2 linked regions of the Caenorhabditis elegans genome follow. The protein of the gene in region 2 purifies or fractionates together with the protein of the main gene of each other region. This does not show direct contact. Each region holds a gene or a part of one and is shown on either strand. Other genes may lie near its edges.

What was found. Proteins that work in one complex are often made in the same cells at the same time.
Region 1: the proteins of C15A11.2 (region 2) and daf-25 fractionate together in Caenorhabditis elegans (co-fractionation; one large-scale study listed by BioGRID). This does not show direct contact.

The regions. Positions count from the first base shown.
Region 1 is NC_003279.8:331,029-338,354, reverse strand, and holds daf-25 (Dauer abnormal formation protein 25), read right to left. Parts: upstream 5,752-7,326; 5' UTR 5,743-5,751; coding exon 5,591-5,742; intron 5,510-5,590; coding exon 5,406-5,509; intron 4,565-5,405; coding exon 4,245-4,564; intron 2,647-4,244; coding exon 2,212-2,646; intron 791-2,211; coding exon 635-790; 3' UTR 510-634; downstream 1-509. UniProt on the Caenorhabditis elegans protein: May be involved in the trafficking and dendritic transport of signaling proteins, such as the receptor-type guanylate cyclases gcy-12 and daf-11, to the cilia.
Region 2 is NC_003279.8:7,382,383-7,389,317, forward strand, and holds C15A11.2 (Protein PXR1-like), read left to right. Parts: upstream 1-2,015; 5' UTR 2,016-2,135; intron 2,136-3,524; coding exon of another isoform or gene 3,525-4,553; intron 4,554-4,823; exon of another isoform or gene 4,824-4,844; intron 4,845-5,698; 5' UTR 5,699-5,727; coding exon 5,728-6,147; intron 6,148-6,232; coding exon 6,233-6,334; 3' UTR 6,335-6,413; downstream 6,414-6,935. Other genes in the region: unc-15 (Paramyosin), read right to left, coding at 585-701; col-35 (Nematode cuticle collagen N-terminal domain-containing protein), read right to left, coding at 3,525-4,553; sol-1 (Suppressor of lurcher protein 1), read right to left, coding at 6,724-6,935.

The DNA.
Region 1 (7,326 bases), 7.1 Mb from region 2:
AAAAAATTTTTTTTCGTTCTTCTGGATTTTAAAAATCCGTTAAAAAAACGAAAAAACTTTTGTTTTTAGACTTTTCAAGTATTTATCAGATATTGTAGAACTATGTCTACTTTGTTGTATCATTAGACAACTAAAATGAACCATTTTAGAGGGGTTAAAAAATTTCGAATTTTCGCCACTTTTTATAGTTTTCTTTTTTATAGTATTCGGAGATCAATTTTGAGGGCAAAAAAAATAATTTTTTGATTTGAAAATGTTTTACCAGTTGTCTTTACAAATGAGAATATTGAATTTCTTGGGTTCCTGATTTTTTCATTTTTGTCGATTTACGAGATTTGTGTCGATTTACGAAATGTCGAAATTTTTAATCTTTATTGGATACTCTTTCCGTTTTTCAACGAGTTTCCATCATCAGTTTTTGACGAAGTGGTTTTTTGAAAAGGTTTTTAGATTAATTTTTGGATTCCATATTTCTTAATGCATGTTTTAGTGAATTTTTGTTCAAGGAATGACTTCAAAAATGAATTTATGAAAATGAAATTAAAAGTTCGTGCAATGAGATGAAGCCGAAATATACATTAAAAATAAATAAATTCCAGAAAAAAAGTATATTGAGATCGAAATATCGGCACTTCTACACGTCGATTTTGGCGATTTGAGCCTGAATATCGTCCAGCGACATGGCGGTCTCGTCGGTGGGCGACACTTCTTGTCGCGTTTTCAGAAATGAGCACACTTTTTTGTGAATTGGCCAGTCGAATTTTTGGCATTCTTGGGAACAGTAGGCGAGCTGTAAAAATTGTTGGAATTTAAAAAACGTTTACTAGAGTTAAAAAATGTGTTGCCTGAAATTTTTAAACTCTTTTCCATTTTATCAAAATTTGGAAATTGTTTGCAATTTATAATGAGAATTGAGTTTTTTTTCACTTTTTAGCTATTCTGTTGTTGAAAAATTGGATATTTTTCAGAAAAAATTCTTTAATCGATATTTTGAGGCACCACATTTTCAAGATCTGGCGGAATTCCGGATCTCCGTTTTCCGGATCTACCATTTCCGGATCTGGCACCGTGCCAACTCTTAAAACGCTATTTTTCTCGGAGAAAAACGTGATAACGATGCTCCGTTGTTACGCGTCGCGTGTTGTTAAGCGTTTCTTCTAGAAGAAATTTTCAAAAAACAACGTGCGTCGAGTGAACAAAAAAGCGTTTTGTGCGTTGGCACGGTGCCAGATCCGGAAAACGTAGATCCGGAAATGGTAGATCCGGAAAACGTAGATCCGGAATTTCACCAGATCTTGAAAACGTTGTGCCTCGATATTTTCAGATATAGTTTTTAATTTTCAAATACAGCATATTATAGAAAACTTTTTTTAATAAAGGAAAAACAGGAAATTCAAAAAAATTGAACCTCGACACTTAAAATTTTGAAAAATTGGAAAAAGTATCAGAAATTAATTTTGACTAATACATTTACAGACAAAATGTTCTTTTTTCGATATTTACAGAATGTCTAGAATTTATTTTTGTTTTTTGAAGTTTTTTCCCGGATTTTCAAAGAGTATTTTACGGGAATTTTCTACAGAATGAATTTTTTTAAAAAGTTTTAATAATTCTTTTTTTTAATTTAAAGAATCTTTAAAGAATTGTTAGAGCTGCCAAATTTTGTAAATTAAAAACGAACTGAAATTTTGAAAACTTTCAATTTTTATTCGAGTTTCTCGGCATTTGGCTCTTGCTTCTTGCCCAAGTTTAGCCCAAAAAATGTTAACTTGGATCAGAAGCTGTCTAAACTTGGGCAAAAGTTAGGCAAGACTTTGGCAAAACTTGGATTCAAGCTTTACCAAAGTCTAACCCAAGTTTCACCCAACTCTTGCCAAACTTTGGCCCAAATTTGAAACGAAATAAGAAAAGTTTGGGCCAAAGTTTGGCAAGAGTTGGGTGAAACTTGGGTTAGACCTTGGTAAAGCTTGAATCCAAGTTTTGCCAAAGTTTTGTCTAACTTTTGCCCAAGTTTAGACAGCTTCAAGTTAATATTTTTTGGGCTAAACTTGGGCAAGAAGCTAGAGCCAAATGCCGAGTTTGTGGGAAAATTCATAAAATGTAACGGAATAAAATTTTTTCCATATTTTTAAAATTTGGAATTGATTATTTCCCAAATTCGAGCTTTATTAAATTATTAAATAATTATTTTTAACCCTAAAAACTCCATACTTTGCACTGTGTGCACCGTTTCTTGGCTCCAGGATGTCCGCAAACCGAGCAAAACTGGCAGACCGCAGCGATTCGTTGTCCGAAAAGTGCCTGAACAATGTATTCATAGGCACTTGGTCGTTCACCAATTTGACTTTTTTGCAGTGCTTTTTGTAGAGTATCATGAAGTAATGAATGTTTATACGGGAACGAAGCAACCGCATTTCTCAGCATCACGTCAAGTGCTCGCCTAGTTTCATCGCCCTCTTGCCACGTGGAAATCAGTTTTGCGTACTGTAGAGACGCTTCTTCTGGCGACTTTTCCTTGTTCGACTCCACGAATTTCGAGGTTTCACGCATTGAAAATAGAATTAGCCAAAGCTTGAGCGACATTATTTCATTGCTTTCCTTACATCGAAGCTGTTTCTCGAAGACACGATCGATGACGTAGAGGATCTGGAAAATGGGTGGTTTTTGCTTTGAAAAAAAAATATAAAAAAATAGTGTCCGTTTGTTAAGTAGTGACGTCATAGTTTACAAAGGCAAGGCGTTTTCGGCTGATGGAGGGATATTAGTTTGGGCTTAGTAGTGGGATATGGTCGGGGTACTGTAGTAGTACTGTAGGAGTACTGTAGGAGTACGGTAGGATTACTGTAGTTTAGGAAAAATTGTGTTTTAGTCTTTTGAAGAGATATAGGTTTGGGGTTAGTAGTGGGATATGGTGGGGGTACTGTAGTAGTACTGTAGGAGTACGGTAGGATTACTGTAGTTTAGGAAAAATTGTGTTTTAGTCTTTTGAAGAGATATAGGTTTGGGGTTAGTAGTGGGATATGGTCGGGGTACTGTAGTAGTACTGTAGAGGTACTGTAGGAGTACTGTACATATTTTGGCGGGAAATTCGAATTTTAATTTTTTGAAAACATTTTGGCGGGAATTCAAATTTGAATTTTTTGAAAACATTATTCTGGATTGTTCTAGAACCTTTTGGAAATTTCGAGAAAATTCTGAAATATTCTAGAACCTTCTGAAAATTTCGAGAAAATTCTGTAATGTTCTAGAACCTTTTGGAAATTTCGAGAAAATTCTGTAATGTTCTAGAACCTTTTGGAAATTTCGAGAAAATTCTGAAATATTCTAGAACCTTCTGAAAATTTCGAGAAAATTCTGAAATGTTCTAGAACCTTTTGGAAATTTCGAGAAAATTCTGAAATATTCTAGAACCTTCTGAAAATTTCGAGAAAATTCTGGAATGTTCTAGAACCTTCTGGAAATTTCGAGAAAATTATGTAATGTTCTAGAACCTTTTGGAAATTTCGAGAAAATTCTGAACTATTCTAGAACCTTCTGAAAATTTCGAGAAAATTCTGGAATGTTCTAGAACCTTCTGAAAATTTCGAGAAAATTCTGAAATGTTCTAGAACCTTTTGGAAATTTCGAGAAAATTCTGAAATATTCTAGAACCTTCTGAAAATTTCGAGAAAATTCTGGTTTATTATAACAAAAAGAACACAATTTTTACATTTTTTTTGGGTTTTCGGTTTATTTTAATCTCGAAAAACATTTAACATCAAAAGTTTTTTTTTTAATTTCTAGTTTTTAACAAATTCAGAAATTCGAAAAAATCGATCTGAAAACTACTGATACCTAATTCGATTCAATTTTTAAATTCTGAAAAATTTCAAAAATTTATTTTAATAAAAGTTTTTTTAGTTTCGAATATTTTCGCATTTTCAAACATTTTTTCACAGAAAGAATCATTTCTGAAAATATTTTGAAAAAATCAATTTTTAGGCAAAATTCAGGAAGAGATCTCAAATTTGAAAAACGATGAGAAAAACCGAGAAAAAGTGAAAAATTTTGATTACTAAAAGTTTTTATTTGGTATAACTTTTTTGTTTTGAAATTAAAAAGAATGCTTTATTAAATTTTTTAAAAAACTTTTTGGATTTTTTTGAAAATAAGAATGAACAAAAATGCGCATCTTGAAAAAGCTTAAGGAAATTTCTCAAATTTTCAGATTTTTCGTTTTTTTTCCAAACTACACAGCTATGTACCTTTTTCTTATACTTCAACGAATCGGGATATTTACTGAATCGAAAAATAATCTTAACAGGATGAATCTCATGTGATCCACACAATGAATGAATAAATACAGCCAGCTCATCCGGATATTCCTCAGCTCCTTCATATTTTCCATTCACTTTTGGCCGCAAAAGATCTTCGATCACATCAATTGTTATATGATTATTGATAATTGCCACACACTCGTGATGACCCACAAATGCCGCCAGTTCAGAGGCGGTTTTTCCGATTCCATTCACCAAATACATACGGGCTCCGGAGTCCATTAGCAGGCGGCATACGTCCTGTTTTCCTGCAAACGTTTGACAATTTTGCTTTGAAAAAAAAAGTTTGCGCGTCAAATATGGTGTATTCGAATTTTTTTTTTGGAAAAACTAAGAAAGTAGTAATACGTTAACGCAAAATTCTGAGAATGTGTATTGAGCATATTTGACGCGCAAAATATCTCGTAGCGAAAACTACAGTAATTCATTAAATGACTACGGTAGCGCTTGTGGTGATTTACGGGCTCGATTTTTTTGAAATTAATGATTTTTAATAACGAGCCCGTAAATCGACACAAGCGTTACCGTAGTCATTTAATGAATTACTGTAGTTTTCGCTACGAGATATTTTGCGCGTCAAATATGTTGACCAGTACGCATTTTCAGAATTTTGTGTTCCGGTAATATTTCGAATTGAAATTTGAATTTTTGAGCTTGAAAACGATCAAAAAAAGAAAATAGAACTTTACGAGGATTTTAAATAAAAATTTAACATTTGCGCGTAAAATATAGTGTATTGGTTTTTTTTTTTTCAAATATTGGGGTTCAGCCTAAAAATATTGTAAAAACGGAAAAAAGTTTCAAAAATTTGAATTTGCGCGTCAAATGTGTTGTATTTGGTGCAAAAAAAAATTGCGAATATTGGGTCTCACCGCGAAAACCATAAAATTTCGATGACTTTTCGCTAAATTGAATTTCAGATCAAAAATACGTGATTTGGGTCTAATTTTCCACGATTTTTCACTTAAAAGTTTGTTGTTAGCATAAAAATCGATTTTTTCGGAATTTTTTTTTACTTTTCAACGGTAAAAAACCAGAATTTGCATCAAATTTGACGCAAAAAATTTTTTTAAAAAATTTTTGCCCTACCTGATAAGGCGGCAAACATGAGTGGAGTGTACAGAGTTCCATCGGTTTTATCATTCACATCACATTTCAGCTCAATCGCTTTCTCGACCAACGTAAGATTTCCTCTGAAATTCAACGGATTACGGTATGTACCTTTAAACAATCTGCGAGGATACAGTAACCGTCGCCGCTTTAAAGGTGCATACCTATACGCGGCAGCTGCCAGCACACTCATTCCACTGGGATCCCGTTGAGCGGCTTGTTCCTTCGTTTTCAGCAGTGCCAGCGCTGCTTCAGTGTCATTTTTGTCGATTGCCTCGAAAAGCGGCGATTTGGGAGCTTCTTCCGTTGTCGTCATTTCTGCAGAAAACGGGAATTTTTTAATAATGTCGTGGCGAGATCCAAGGTTTGAGAAAATTGGAAAAATTTATGAGTAATATACAATTTTTTGATTTTTTACAGAAAAACACCTAAAAATCTAAGCATGAATAGGGATTTGGATTAAAATAAAAAATAAAAAAACTAAAATATTGTGAATTTTTATGCCTCTATGAAATTTCGATTTTTCGCGGCGGAGACATGTGTGTCGATTTACGAAATATTTAATCTTTATCGAATGATGATTTTCGTTTTTCGACGAGTTTCATTCATTTTTCCCAATAATTTTTTTAATATTGAAAAAACCAAATAAATGGTTTTCCTGACTGAAAACTGAATATTTTTCTAGTTTTTTGACCTTAAAAAATACACTTTCAAAAAAAAAAAACAAAAAAAAACCAACGAAAATGAAGACAACTCGTAGAAAAACGGAAATCAGCATTCGATAATGATTAAAAACATATCGTAAATATACATAACCCTCGTAAATCGACACACAATTGTCAGAAAGTCAAAATTCGGCGAGCAAATTCAAAAAATTGAAAATTTTACATATAAATGTTTTTAATATCGAAATTGTCTAATAGTTATATAAAATTCGAGTTCTCCAGAACATTCGTCAAAACCGCCACATCTGCCATATCTCTCCAATGACCGGATGAGCCATTAAGGATTTGGAAGAGGAAATGAGAGAAAGGGGCGGGGCGGGGCGGGGATGAGGATACTATGGCAACGGGTGGGAATGATGATAAATGTGTATTCCCAAAATATTCTCGAACGTACGTAAATGCATATATTATGAATATTTCAAAAGGTGCGTATATTTAGAATATATGAACGAAATATTACACACGCAAGCATATTAATTTACGCGCATTTTCGCCAAAAATGGTACAATACAGGGGTGAACGGCAAACGATTTTTTTGGCAAATTGTCGTTTTTCAAATTTTCGGCAATTACCGATTTGCCGGAACAACATGTGCACATCCCATGAAAACATCTATCCTAAAAAGTCAGTAAATTCTATGAAAATATTTAGAGAAAACGGGCAAAAAATTAAAAATGGCAGTTTTAAGTGTTTCCGTCTTATAAAAGATCCCGTTTAAAAACTTCCGGCAAACGGAATTTTGCCGGGATTGAAAATTTCCGGCAAACCGGCAATTTGCCGAACTGCAATTGCCGCCCACCCGTGATTTCGTGGCGAGACCCTTTCCCGAAAGTTTGAGAGTTTGCAGAGTTGAGGAGATGTAAGTGAAGCTAATTACGGAACAACTGTGTGACTCGTAGACTCAAAATTTCCAGAAATGAGAAAATTTCGAGAATTCTGAACAAAAAACTCCATAAATTGGAAATCGCTCTAAGTTTGAGCCAAAATTTGCTGACTTACGAACTATAATGGATGATTTTAGCACAAGAATTTTTTAACCTAAAAAAACTCAAAATTCCAATAAAATCAGATATTCGAGTTAGAGGGGTATTTTCAATGTAAAGTTTAAAAACTTTTTAGAAAATGCGCGAGTCAATTGGAAAACTTCAAAAATTAATCGAGATATTGACAAACGT
Region 2 (6,935 bases):
AAAAGCGTAATTTTTGTTTTTTATAAGTGCTATATTTGAAAATCTGAGAATTAGGGTTCTACTTTTTCTTGGAAATATATGTAAGCAAGCAGTAAGTTAAACAAAGGTTGCAAATCTTAGTTACACAAAGAAACTAGTTGCCGAGATGAATGATGAACAGATTTTTCAAAATGAAGATTTAGAATAAGGAATCTAAAGGTTTAATTATAGAGAAAACTAGGAAGTTTAAAAATTTTTCTGAAAATAGTGTTTTGGCTCGGAATATTGTTTTATTCCATACATTTTGATGCAGAAAAATAATATTTACAAAACTGAAAACGCCGTTATTTGTCAATCATTCAATTTAGGGACAAAACAAACATTTTTCTTGAGACTGAGGAGTACTGTAAAACTACAATTTGAGATTTTTCAAGTTTTTCAATTCTTCGTTGCTATATTAGATGCCTTTTTTACTAAAATTTAAATTACAGATATAATTCAAAATATCAGTCAATGAAACATCGATTCGATGAAAAATGGAACACGGGTTTTGGGGTTTTGGCAGTGAAATGTTCAGAAATGGTAGAAAACATTCAAAAATTTACCTCGAGTCTGGTGAGTGATCCAAGATCGGCGACGGACATGCTGCCAAATGGAGCACCGAACGCTGCTTGCGACGGGCTCTTAAGAAGAGCAGCGGATGGCGAACGATACAATGACATGATCAAATGGAGTATTCAAATGGATGGTGCCCCTGTGTGTGCTGCTGGCTGGCTGGCTGCTTCGAGACTGACTGATTGTGCGTTGGGGCTCTGCCGTCGGGAAGACACATACACACATATCTCATCCCGCGCCGTTGCGTCGTCGATCGTCTCTCTGTCTCCAAGTATCTCTCATCATCAACTTCTACGAAGGTAGTGTGCCCGGCAGGGAGCGAGAGAGGAGCCTCAGTGTAATCCTTCTTGCCTAGCACTGAGCCACCCTCCCACTCTACGCTGCGTATCTGATAAATGCCATTGTGTTTTTGCCAACGAGTTGGCGGGATACGATCTCGAGAAGAGCGCGCCGAGAGCCGAAGCGCAGACGATGCATCAGGCACCCGCGGGCCAGGAGGTTTTAAACATTCGAATGATATTGGTTTGGTTCGGGTTGAGGCGACACGGAAGAAATTCAGCAAAAAGGGATGAGCACAGACAAAAAACATCGGGATCCACCAAAAACTTCAACTCGTGTTTGTGTGTGCCTTTTGAATGTCCGAAAGGGCAGGTGTGAACTTTGACGAACGGATAGTAAAACGAAGACCACTTAAGAAAAAAGAAACACAAAACCAGAAAAAGCGAGACTGAACTGCCATTAATCGAATGCCATTCCACCTATCAGTAATCAACTCTTACTTTATTCAGGCTCTTCAAGCCTGGGTTGTCTCCAATTTTCATTAAAGTTTCTCAGAACTATACTGTTACCTTTTAGATGATCCATTTTCATAAATTTATAAAAGTCTTCTATTAATGGTAATACGTCTATACAGTCGAAATATTGAAGAATTCCAAAACTCGGTTGTCAACTATTTGAAATTCCTTAATTACAGATAGTTATGCTCTCTTCTTGTCCATATCTATTAATACACTTCCTTAATTGATAGCCTTGTCATATATGATCTGATCAATGTTTTAAAAAGTTCTTGGATCTCATATTCTGAAGAAATAAGTGCGAAGTGTGTAATAATTGAGTGTATCCCGGAGAATGTGTGTGTGTGTGCGTGTGTGAGGGGGTGGGGGAGCGTATCACAACAAATTGTGATGAAATCAAGTTTTTATTACTTCTATAATAACTTGGTATTCAATTTCCAATATATCGGCTCTTCCGAATGTTTTTTCATTAATGAAAAATAGGCTTGATAAACTGATTTTCAAACTGAAATTGTGTCATGACGTCAAAAAATCAACGTTTTCACTCCAAATCCCGTTACTTCTTGTGACTCATGTCATTTTTAAATAAGTGTTGTGAAATTTCAAAATCTTTTCTAAATTTTCAGAATTTTACTTCCATTACGACTGATCAACCAGACAACAAAATACTCTTGTTGAGCAGTGTCAGCTGACAAATCGTGATGACCGAGATAATTAGTTGGTTGCAGAAGCAGGGGATGGTGAAATGTACTGACATTCGTTTGAACTTAATTTCAGATTTGATTATAAAGAAAAAATCTTGAACATTGTAAGTTGATGTTTATTGATTGCAAAAACTAGGATGGTTTTACCCCGCTAACAACTTTCTGAGGAAATATCGATTGTCGCACATTTCCATTCCAAAACGTGACAAAAACTTATAAAATGTAATAGAAAACGGTAGACCATTTATATTTAACTTTTACAAAGAGTGGACATACCTTTGAATAGTTTTTGTTAGACTTTAGTAAGGCCAGATTTTGGTTAAACCTTGCATACGATTTCCACAAGATTTCTAGCAGTGCTGCCGCTTGTTAAAATTATTTTTAACATAACTTCGAGAATATATGCTAATAATGCTGTAAGTTTTCTCTCAAGATAGAAACTTGGAACTACTGGATTTATCATTTTGTAGACAACTATCCAAAACAAAGGTAGATCAAAGCATTTTAATTTGTTGATATCTTCCAGATTTATGCAGTGAAACATGTTAAAGTGAAATATACTTGTAGACCGTATTTCATTTTATCTTTTTTGTTTTTAGCACTATTCCTTTTATTAGGAGAAGATCTAAAAACAACATTTTTTAAAGATATTTGCATATTTTTAAGTTATGCAATTTTGATTAATAGCTATATATTTGTCACCTTTCCATCTTTTGTCCATCCATTTTTTTCGTGATCATTACAAAGAATCTCTTCAATAGAATTCCCTCCAGAAGCCGCCCATTCTCTCTCATCGGTCTCCACTGCCATCTCAATATCTTTTTTTGCCACCGTACACTCTCTGAACTCTTCAGTGACAAGCCCACATCTCACACTCTTCTTCTACTACACATGCTTCTCTATCACATTTCTTTTTGTGCCTTCGTTGAAATGGCAGAAGGGTCCGGGAGCACAGAGGATCTTTCTCTCTGTGCTACTCGAGGAGCAAGAATGAAGAAGCATTTTTCGGCCCCGCATTATTGTTTTAAAGTATTGGCAACTGGGAGGAAAAGAGATATAGATACTCAGCAAAGGAGGACGATAATGAAAAATTTCAGCCGAAACATGAGATCAATCTTCAAAAGAATATTAGAGGGAACATGTCAAAATGTTCAGATTTTAGAAAAAAAAAATTTGTTTGAAAAAAATTTTAAAAATTTCGGAATTGAGTATTTGAAGATAGTTTCGAAATCATTTGAAAGTTACTGTTCTGATATTATACAAATATCTAAAATAATTCGAAAGCACCGAGAGGAGCTTATGTGGTTTTGCTATGATTTTTTGTTTCATGTTATCAAATGTTTACAGCTGAAAATAATAAAATCAATACTGTTTAGCTTGAAGAAATTTTATTGCAATAAAATTCATCACATTCCAGAAAAATTTAAGTTGATTAGAATCGAGCACGACGACGGACGACAGCGCTTCCACTGTATGTTCCTGTGGCTCCATCTCCAGCTCCAGCTCCTGCATCCGGTGCACCACCGGCAGCTCCAGAGCTTGCATCCGCACCTGTAGCAGCACCTGCTGGAGCTTCTTGGGCCAATCCTGCTGTTCTTGGTGGGCATGGACAATAGGCGGCGTCGACTCCTGGTGCTCCATCTGTTCCTGGCCCTCCTGGCGCTCCTGGAGCTCCTGCTTCTCCGTCTTTTCCTGGTGGGCCCGGTGGCCCCGGTGGTCCTGGTGGGGATTCTGGAGCAGCAGCGTCTTCTCCAGCTGGTCCAGCTGGTCCTGGAGGTCCAGCCGGTCCAGGAGATCCCGGTTCGTTGGTACTTGTAGTTCCTGCGGCTCCTGGTTGTCCATTTGGTCCTGGTGCTCCTGGCTGCCCATCTGGCCCCGGTGGTCCGGCTGGTCCTGCTGGTCCAGCTTCTCCTGGTCCAGCAGCATCTCCATCAGCTCCAGGAGCTCCTGATGGTCCTTCTGGTCCAGCATTTCCATCTGGTCCCGGTGGCCCTGGTGGTCCAGCAGGACATTTGATACAGTTACCTTCGACTCCAAGGAAACTATCAGCAACTCCTGCAGCTCCATTCTCTCCATCAGTTCCAGCGGTTCCAGGCTCTCCAGGCGCTCCATCTTCTCCTGGTGCTCCTGGTGGTCCTGCTGGACAACCAGTTGATTGAGCAGCACAGTTACATTCTCTTTCTGTACCTCCGCCGGTTGCATATCCAGCAGCTCTCTTTGCAAGAATATATCTTCCAAATGATGGAGACGTTGCTTGATTCTGAGGAAGATTTTCTCGAACCATTTTATTCCAAACATCATTGGCTCGAGATTTGAAATGAACCATTTCGCTGTTGATATTCATTTCAAATTGTTGAATATCAAGAGAAATTGAGTAAAGAGTCAGCAATGATGCGACAACGATCAACGAGCAGCCGATCGTCGACGAAAGAATAAAATAATAGGATGTACTGTGGGACATTGGATACCAAATGAGTGATGTTTTCTTCCATTTCCACTTACTTATATATGAATTATTTTTGTACTGATCCAATCGGTTTCTTGTTCCGATATTCATCTTTTATTACAACACAACCGTTTGATATCTAGTTTTATGTTTTACTATTCATTTACTATGAGAATAAAAAAGTTTCTGCAGTACTGTAGGAAACTATACCGGCAGAATAATGCTTCCAGAACTAATTTTTTCTAATTGAGGTTCCGTGGAAAAATATCGTTTTAGCAATTGAGATAACTAAAATTTTTCGAGAGACTTAAAAAAAAGAAAATTTTCATATTTATGCATGAATTGAAAACGTGAATTTTTCTTATTTAATTTTAATAAGATTCCACGGGCGAATATTTTGTTTAATAAATATGAAGTTTCTGAATTCATATTTGCCATTGCTAAGTTTTGAGCAACTCGACGTTCGTATTTTTCTTGTTTCTCGGTTGAAAAAGTGAGTTTGTTTGCAACATTTTTTTACCGATTAGAGCTTCTCTCTTTGTTAGCTCACCGCGAACAGTGTGTACAACTTTGTGTCTAGGAGGCAGGCCTTCACCTACCTGCCTACCAACCGCCTACTTTTTTCAGAACTTCCGCGCGGTCGCCAGTGGTTGGTGCTTGCATAGCGTAGATTTACATATTTAATCTTTTCCCATCAATTTTCTTTCGAAAATCAAAAAAATATATAATTTCCGGATAACATAACAGTAGGCATAGGTAGGCAGGCGAATTTTTATGTGCCTCCTTAGAAGGCTTTGTGTGAAAATAGTAATACACGCTTTGAGGTGTTCCATGCCATAGCAAACTAAATTGGGGCTGCGTGGACATTTCTCCAACTTTCTATCGATCGAGCATGTTTCGATTCAAATTACACAAAGTCACGTTATCCGAGTCAATTTGAAAATTCGTGAAATTTCCATACTGTCCTTTGAGAAGTGGAATTTTAATTAATTTAAATTAATTAATAACAATATGGTTTTGCCGTGAGACTTATCATTATGCAAACGTGCCTAGTTTATAAAAAATTGTGGTTATTTCCACCTAGGTCCTAGAAGCTGTACATAAGAACTTGTTGGTAATTTTTTTTTTCTGCTCAACTTATATATTTTGATTTATTGTAGACTTTCGATTTATTGCAATAAGGATTGAAATGGGCAACAAAAGCAAGAATACAAAGAAAGAAGGTGCGGAGAAAAAGAGATCAAAGACGAAGACAGCCAAGAAGAAAACCTCCACTCTCACGCATTCAAAATCCGTGACATCGACGGATCCAAAAGAATATGAGAAAGAAAAACGACGTGATGATAAGGATGTTTTAAGAATGACAAAAGAAGATGTTGGGAAAGAGAGAAAGAAGGAGGCACCGAAGAAGGAACAATCGAAGGATCAATTGGTAAAGGAGCAACCAAAAGAGCAACCAAAAGAGCAACCAAAGGAGCAGCCTAAGGAGCAACCTAAGGATCAGGCGAAGGATGTAGTAAAGGATATAGCTAAACCCCCATTGAAGGAACAACCAAAAGAACAACCAAAGGAACAGCCAAAGAAGAAAGAAGAGGAAAAAACAAGCAAGGTTAAATCATATCAAATATACACTGATTTTTAACTAATGTTGAATCATTTTTCCACTTTAAAATTTCTAATATCATAATTTTCAGAACATGGAGATAAGTGGAATGGATATGGTTATGAAGGACGACGGGAAGAAGACAAAAATGGACGATGGTTACGAGGATTTCGGTCCAGGTGCAGCTCAATAAGAAATAAGATGAAATGACAAGAAGGAACAAAATAATGCTAATGAAAAAACCTTTACTTGAATAAATGTATGATCTTTTAGTTTTTGATTTTGATACAAGTCCGATTTTCCGAATTTCAGGTACTTTTTCGAGAAAAGAAAGCTTTCCTTGCCTGTTTTTGCATGCGAAATAGTTATTTTTCTAGTAAGCTGAGGAAGATGGACGTTTGCGTTTTCCCGGTTTAACCCATATTTCTAAAATCCAAAAGAGTTTTTTTCCAGAGAAAGTTAAATTCATTTTGAATTGAATTTGACTGTTTTCAATGAAAACATTAAAGTGTTCAATAAATGAACAAAGAAAACAAATTTATAAAAACTAAAAAAAAACACGAAAAAATGTATTTAAGTCAGCTAAAAAATGTTGGCAATGTATCGAAAGGTGAACAATAATATCACAAGGAAAAATGAGGAGAACGGAGTTTGGCTAGAAGATATCGTGAGCTTGACCCGACTGATTTGAGATTTCTCTTGAGTGATAAACTGATAATGTGCATAAAATCCGGTTGCATCAAAGATGTCATTCGTTGAGAAAATCATTCGAAAGTAATTGGATTCTGATAATA